Neurospora crassa OR74A: one gene and its partner. The protein of the gene in region 2 purifies or fractionates together with the protein of the main gene of each other region. This does not show direct contact. Links are inferred from orthologs where the notes say so. Each region holds a gene or a part of one and is shown on either strand. Other genes may lie near its edges.

Evidence for each region. Proteins that work in one complex are often made in the same cells at the same time.
Region 1: the proteins of NCU06854 (region 2) and aro-1 purify together in Saccharomyces cerevisiae (affinity purification with mass spectrometry; 3 studies listed by BioGRID). This does not show direct contact. The link is inferred for Neurospora crassa OR74A from reciprocal best matches to the Saccharomyces cerevisiae genes RVB2 and ARO1.

Annotation. Positions count from the first base shown.
Region 1 is NC_026502.1:2,891,163-2,894,914, forward strand, and holds the start of aro-1 (pentafunctional AROM polypeptide), read left to right. Parts: upstream 1-1,242; 5' UTR 1,243-1,544; coding exon 1,545-3,752. UniProt on the Saccharomyces cerevisiae protein: The AROM polypeptide catalyzes 5 consecutive enzymatic reactions in prechorismate polyaromatic amino acid biosynthesis.
Region 2 is NC_026502.1:1,746,300-1,750,051, reverse strand, and holds NCU06854 (RuvB-like helicase 2), read left to right. Parts: upstream 1-1,237; 5' UTR 1,238-1,466; coding exon 1,467-1,475; intron 1,476-1,551; coding exon 1,552-1,778; intron 1,779-1,853; coding exon 1,854-3,063; 3' UTR 3,064-3,451; downstream 3,452-3,752. Other genes in the region: NCU06855 (hypothetical protein), read right to left, coding at 3,452-3,752. UniProt on the Saccharomyces cerevisiae protein: DNA helicase which participates in several chromatin remodeling complexes, including the SWR1 and the INO80 complexes.

The sequences.
Region 1 (3,752 bases), about 1.1 Mb from region 2:
CCCGATGCTCCCCGAAGAAGGACAGAAGGTGGCTTCGAACTTGTTCACAAGCTGGATGAGCCGATGGCGTTGATGCTACATCATCTCAAGGGAATCAGTGTCTAGGCCAACGGGCGTGGTGGTTTTTACAATCGGGAGATAGCCGGTTTAGCCATTTCTGTCTATGGTCAATGCAGTGGTGAATGGCGTTAGAGACGAGGCCCGATACATACATTCATGGGTTACCAACCAATCAAGAGACGCGAGTAGAGATGAGCTTTGTTTAGCTACCTCTAGCCTGCGGCTCTACTTGTGAACTTTGATGGGAGCTCCACGTAGGGTGTGATCGCGCGTTCCTCGTTCACGGATACTCGTTGGGTTGTTATGAGCCGTTTGCAAGAGCTGTCCAGACTCGCGAGCCAGTACGCGTTCAAGCATGACGGATGGTGTGTGGTCACGAATGGCGAGTGGTCAGGACAAGGGTTCGCGATCAGAAAGGACATAATGAGCGTGCCGTATCATTCATAGGGCTGAAGGCAGCATCGCGGGGAAATGCAAATCAGCGGAACGGCGCGAGATCGCGCAATAGGATGGGGGTGGTGGGAGCTTGTTCACTTGGAGGAAAGGTATGGGATGAAGCTACAGCCGGGCAATACCCAATGTTTTACTTCCCGTGATTCGTCTTCATATCGTGACATCCTTAGCGATGAGTGGCGCCGAGCATGGCGTGTCAATAGTTCTGACGTTGCAAAGCGCAAACAAAGGTGAGGGGTTAGGTAGACACAGAAAAGCGAAAAAAGTATGTTCGACGACTAAACTGGCCAAACTGGTATCCTCGTCGGCGGAGAAAACCGCTACTCAGATCCAAGAGGAACCAAAGATCGTGCACAAGTAGAACTAATCACTTGTAAGCAGTGAGGTAGTCAAGGCAGTGGTTTTGTTGTGAGACTTGAAGTTGTGGAAGGGACGGGAAGAATAAAGGAGGGGCATCATCCGCGAATCTGTGGGGAGTAAAGGGTCCGAGTGTGAGAAGTACCGAAAGGGTTTTCTGTATCTTATTGGCATCCTCTGTCCGCAAACTATGGCCGAGATTGGCGGACAGTAAGACCTCGGCTACTCAACTTTGGTGTTAGGGTTGAGTTAAGGTACGCCAATAAGGTACTTATAAGTCCCGGCCCCGGTACTTGACGACATCCTCCACTCCGCTTTCGGAAGCGGGAAGGAGCCTCAAGGGATCCGCTCAATTTTTTGGATGATGCTTGTCTGGAGAACTGAGTCACGGCGAACCAGCACAGCACAGCACAGCTTCTCTCTCTGCCGTGTTGTCTTTTTCCCCTCACCACCAAAGACAAAGCTCCTGTATGCGGGAGGCGTGTTGATACATCCTTTACACACACATCCCATCTCCCACTCTCAAACACCCAGTGATTGCCCCACCGTCCCGCAAGGTGGCCGCCATACACCTTGGCTTTATGCGGCTCTCAATCTAACCACCTCCTAATCAATCTGCACCGCCGTCCGCAGTCACTGCAGTCGCTGCCGTCACGGTCCAGAAGCCCTTCGTCATGGCTGAGCCCATCTCTAATCCTACCCGGATCAACATCCTGGGCAAGGACAACATCATCATTGACCACGGCATCTGGCTGAACTTTGTCGCCCAGGACCTCCTCCAGAACATCAAGTCCTCCACCTACATCCTCATCACCGACACGAACCTCTACAAGACCTACGTGCCCCCTTTCCAGTCCGTTTTCGAGAAGGCTGCTCCCCAAGATGTCCGCCTTCTTACCTATGCCATCCCTCCCGGCGAGTACTCCAAGGGCCGCGACACCAAGGCCGAGATCGAGGACTGGATGCTCTCGCACCAATGCACTCGCGACACCGTCATCATTGCCCTCGGTGGCGGCGTCATTGGCGACATGATCGGCTACGTCGCCGCTACCTTCATGCGCGGCGTCCGCTTCGTCCAGTGCCCGACCACCCTCCTCGCCATGGTCGACTCCTCCATCGGCGGCAAGACTGCCATTGACGTGCCCATGGGCAAGAACCTGATTGGCGCCTTCTGGCAGCCCGAGCGCATCTACATCGACCTCACCTTCCTCAACACACTGCCCGTGCGCGAGTTCATCAACGGCATGGCCGAGGTCATCAAGACCGCCGCCATTTGGGACGAGAACGAGTTCACCGCCCTCGAAGAGAACGCAAAGGCCATCCTCGAGGCCGTCCGCTCCAAGAACAAGTCGGCCGACCGTCTGGCCCCCATCCGCGACATCCTCAAGCGCATCGTTCTCGGTTCGGCCCGCGTCAAGGCCGAGGTTGTCTCGTCGGACGAGAGAGAAGGCGGACTCCGCAACTTGCTCAACTTTGGACACTCCATTGGTCATGCTTATGAGGCGATCCTGACTCCTCAGGTCCTCCACGGCGAAGCGGTTGCCATTGGCATGGTCAAGGAAGCTGAGCTTGCCCGCTTCCTCGGCGTCCTCCGCCCCAGCGCCGTCGCTCGTCTTTCCAAGTGCATTGCCAGCTACGACCTGCCTACCTCTCTGCAGGACAAGCGCATCGTCAAGCTTACTGCCGGAAAGGAGTGCCCAGTTGATGTGCTTCTCCAGAAGATGGCCGTTGACAAGAAGAACGAGGGCCGCAAGAAGAAGATTGTCCTACTTTCCGCCATCGGAAAGACCTATGAGCCCAAGGCCAGCGTCGTCGAGGACCGCGCCATTCGCATTGTTCTCTCGCCTTGCATCAGGGTCTTTGCTGGTGTACCCAAGGATCTCAACGTCAGCGTCACTCCCCCTGGATCCAAGAGTATCTCCAACCGTGCCCTTATTCTGGCTGCTCTCGGTGAGGGTACCACCCGCATTCATAACTTGCTCCATTCCGACGACACCCAGGTCATGCTCAACGCCGTCGCGCAGCTCCAGGGTGCCTCCTTCTCTTGGGAAGAGGGCGATGTGCTCGTCGTCAAGGGCAACGGTGGCAAGTTGCAGGCTACCTCGACCCCTCTGTATCTGGGCAATGCGGGAACCGCTTCTCGGTTCTTGACCTCCGTGGCGGCTCTTTGCAACCCTTCCGACGTCAACTCTACTGTTTTGACTGGCAATGCCCGCATGAAGCAGAGACCCATCGGTGCTCTCGTTGATGCCCTGCGTGCCAACGGCGTCGGTGTCAAGTACCTTGAGAAGGAACACAGTTTGCCCGTGCAAGTTGATGCTGCTGGCGGCCTTGCCGGCGGTGTTATGGAGCTTGCTGCCACCATCTCGTCCCAGTACGTCTCCTCGCTCTTGATGGCCGCCCCCTACGCCCGCGAGCCCGTCACCCTTCGCCTGGTTGGCGGTAAGCCCATCTCTCAGCCCTACATCGACATGACCATCGCTATGATGGCTTCGTTTGGTGTGCAAGTTCAGCGATCTGCTGAGGATCCCAACACCTACTATATCCCCCAGGGCACCTACAAGAACCCCGAGACCTATGTCGTCGAGAGCGATGCCAGCTCTGCCACCTACCCTCTCGCCATTGCCGCCATCACTGGCACTACCTGCACCGTCCCCAACATTGGCTCCAAGTCGCTCCAGGGTGATGCTCGCTTCGCCATTGAGGTTCTCCGTCCCATGGGCTGCACCGTCGAGCAGACTGACGTCTCTACCACCGTGACTGGCCCTCCAATCGGCACTCTCAAGGCCATCCCGCACGTCGATATGGAGCCCATGACTGATGCTTTCCTCACTGCGTCCGTGCTCGCTGCTGTTGCCTCTGGCACCACTCAGATTACTGGC
Region 2 (3,752 bases):
ACCTGTGCCAGCGGTACAGACCGACGTCAGTCAATGTCGGAATTGAGCCTGAAATGTGTGTCGATGTTCAATATTGTAGGTTGAAGATTGTAATGCGATACCGATGCGGGTAGACGCGTAGATAGAGTCAAAGTTTTAAGAGGCCCCGCACCTCCTCCAGACGGGAATGAGATCAGACTAGGGCTTGCCGCACAAAGATACAACAAGCTGATGTATTTTTCTGTTCCTTGTCTAAATGGACAGTCGAACTAATAGTTCTGAATGCATTCCGGAACGCCAGGTTTACAATCGTCGAAGATGTCCTAGGGAGAAGAGAGAGGGGAAAAAAAAAAAGAGGAAAGTGTCTGCCATTTGGGTGGGGAAATTGGTTTAAATATTTCTGGGGAACTACTATGAATGAGCCCAAGGTAGCAGAGTTGCAGATTTGCAGCTCTTCCACTCCCAGGTCACAAAACTTCTCCTGTACACTCAAGGAAGGCGCTACGGACCCTTGTCATTCTGTCCCTTCAATGGCCAGTCATAGTATGTAGGTATGACTGGCCGAACGTCACATTTATCTTATTGATATCTTCAAGTTGTATTACTATTTCCTTCAGCTCTTTCATTCTCGCTCCAATCAAACATCCACTGCATTGGTACCCTATGTCCCTCTACACTTAGCCTGGGTTGAGGAGGATGACAGCATGCCTCACATATAGTCTCCTGACCCAAGAATCCCCTGAGGGCCGCTTCTAGCTTCAGGTCCCAGTGAGTAGCGTACCTACCTACACTACTTACTTGCGTCCATGTTTATTTTGCATGTTTGCATCTTCTTCCCTTTTGCATCCGAGTCACGAACCCCTGCCAACACTGTTGCCTTTTCAAAGAACTTCCATCTGTATATAAACAGGTCGTCCGACTTGCTTAGTTCTCTTTCCAAATTGACTGCTGGACAAAGAGGCTTTGTGTTGTGATGATCAGCTCAATCAATCGAATTCCGATGTGGGTCTAAAATCCGGGGCCTTGTGGGACCCCCAGGGCCGCGCCCGGGAAGGTTCAGTCCCACCCGCCGGCACAAGTCCGAGGACTGTCTTCAGTTCCTTCAAGTCTCCGCCCTTCTCTGTCACCGTTTGGATCCTCAGCCACAGTGGCGTGTAAGTCGACGTATTGTTACGTAAACTCGGTAACAAACCACTCGCTGGAGGCCCCGGCCTGTCTACCCATGCACGCAATTGGAGAAGTCGCTGCAAAGTTCCATCACAGCGCGCGGCGACGCGCACTGCAGCTTTGAACTTCCGTCGTCGTACTTCTCGCTCTTTTTCAAGCACATTCCATCATTCACTGCCAAACCATCCCTGCATCCACCTGCAAACTAATCCATCACCACCCACCCACCGTGATACCCAAATCCAAGCGACCTTTCTTGGAAAATTCTGTAACGTCAATCGGCATATTCAATATTAATATCTTGCAAATCAGTGGGCAATATGGCTGCTGTAAGCTCCCCACCTACCCCCCAACATCACAATACCTTGACGGAACACCAGCTGACCTCTTGTGCCCATGCCATAGCAGGTCGTTACCGTCGGAGAGAGTAAGGACCTCCGGGGTCTCAACCTCATCGCAGCGCACTCGCACATCCGCGGGTTGGGCGTCGATGCCGATACACTCGAGCCCAGGGTTGCCTCCCAAGGCCTTGTCGGCCAGGAGAAGGCGCGTAAGGCGGCTGCTGTCGTTCTTGAGATGATTAAGCAAGGGAAAATTGCCGGCCGTGCTGTGCTGATCGCCGGTCCGCCCAGGTTAGCTCGTCTTGCTGTGCCAGTCCTCATGCGCATACCGTTTCGTGTACTGACCTAGCTATGGAAAAACAACAGTACGGGAAAGACTGCTCTGGCCATGGGTATGGCCCAGTCCCTCGGCACCGACGTCCCTTTCACCACCCTTGCCGCTTCCGAAATCTACTCTCTAGAGATGTCCAAGACCGAGGCCCTCACCCAAGCATTCCGCAAGTCGATTGGTGTCAGGATCAAGGAAGAGAGTGAGATCATGGAGGGTGAGGTGGTGGAGATTCAGATCGACCGGAGCGTTACCGGCCACGCCAAGCAGGGCAAGCTTACGATCAAGACGACCGACATGGAAGCTATTTACGACATGGGCAGCAAGATGATCGATGCTATGACCAAGGAGCGCGTCATGGCCGGCGACATTATCTCGATAGACAAGTCATCTGGAAAGATTACCAAGCTGGGCCGATCGTACGCAAGGTCGCGCGACTACGATGCCATGGGCGTCGACACCAAGTTCCTGCAATGCCCCGATGGCGAGCTACAGAAGCGCAAGGAGGTCGTCCACACAGTAACGCTGCACGAGATCGACGTCATCAACTCGAGGACCCAAGGCTTCCTCGCCCTCTTCTCGGGCGACACGGGCGAGATCCGCAGCGAGATCCGCGACCAGATCAACACCAAGGTGGCCGAGTGGAAGGAAGAAGGCAAGGCCGAGATTGTGCCCGGTGTTCTGTTCATCGACGAGGTGCACATGCTCGACATCGAGTGCTTCTCGTACATCAACCGCGCACTCGAGTCCGACCTGGCCCCCATCGTCATCATGGCCAGCAACCGGGGCCACTCCAAGATCCGCGGCACCGACTACAAGAGCCCCCACGGCCTGCCGCTCGACTTCCTCGACCGCATTTCCATCATCAACACGCACTCGTACACGCCCGACGAGCTCAGACAGATTCTCACGATTCGCGCTCAGGAGGAGGAAGTCGACCTTACCCCCGACGCGCTCGCCCTGCTCACCAAGATCGGCGCCGAGGCCGGCCTCCGGTATGCGAGCAACCTCATCACGACGTCGCAGCTAATCTGCGCCAAGAGGAAGGCCAAGCAGGTCGGCGTTGAGGACGTCCAGCGCAGCTTCAAGCTGTTCTACGATCCTGCCAGGAGCGTCAAGTTCGTGCAGGAATCGGAGAAGAGGCTCATCGGCAGTGATGGCGTGGTCGATTTCCGTGTCAATGGCGGTGCTACGGGAGAGCCAGCGGCTACTGCGGCTGGTGGTGATAGCATGGATACCAGCAGCTAAACAGTCATGGGACAATGCGCTACAAGGATTAATGAATAATCTTGGGGTTATGATTTTGTTTCGTCTAGGCGTTTAATTGGGATGGCTCATCAAAAAGGCGTCTTTGTTATGATAACACTGTTTTCTTAAGCTTTATGTGTGCCTAGTCGTGGTTTTTTGTCATGTTACTGATTATGGTGATGGCATGGAGTCTGCAAATATCCGTTTGTATCATACAACGAATCGAATCAAAGTCGAAGCGTGGGGTAGCAGGAAAGGGCATAGTAGGGACGAATGACGACCAGCTGCTGAGGAGTTCCCAGCATGGTGATAAGGCTTTTGATTCTCTCGTCGCTTGGAACCGGGGGTATACTATCACACACAATCGTACAAAACCTAACCATGATGATCATACGAAGGCTGCAACCCTAGACCACTCCCCCTCCCCTCCGCCCACCGGCCTGAACTCAACCGCCTCCTTGAAGTATCCCGCATCCTGCCATGCCTTCATGGTGGGCCCGTCATACGGCCCTTGGCTTCCTCCTCCGTCTCTCCCATCTGTCCACCTAAACTCCCACATTTTGGGTTGTCCGTTTAGTGACGATGGCTGCTCTTCCTCCTTTTCAGGAACAGTAGGCTCCACCCAGGTCTCGCCCGTCTCTGCTCTATACTCTCTCACCAACCACTCCCTCTCCTTATCGTAAATATCC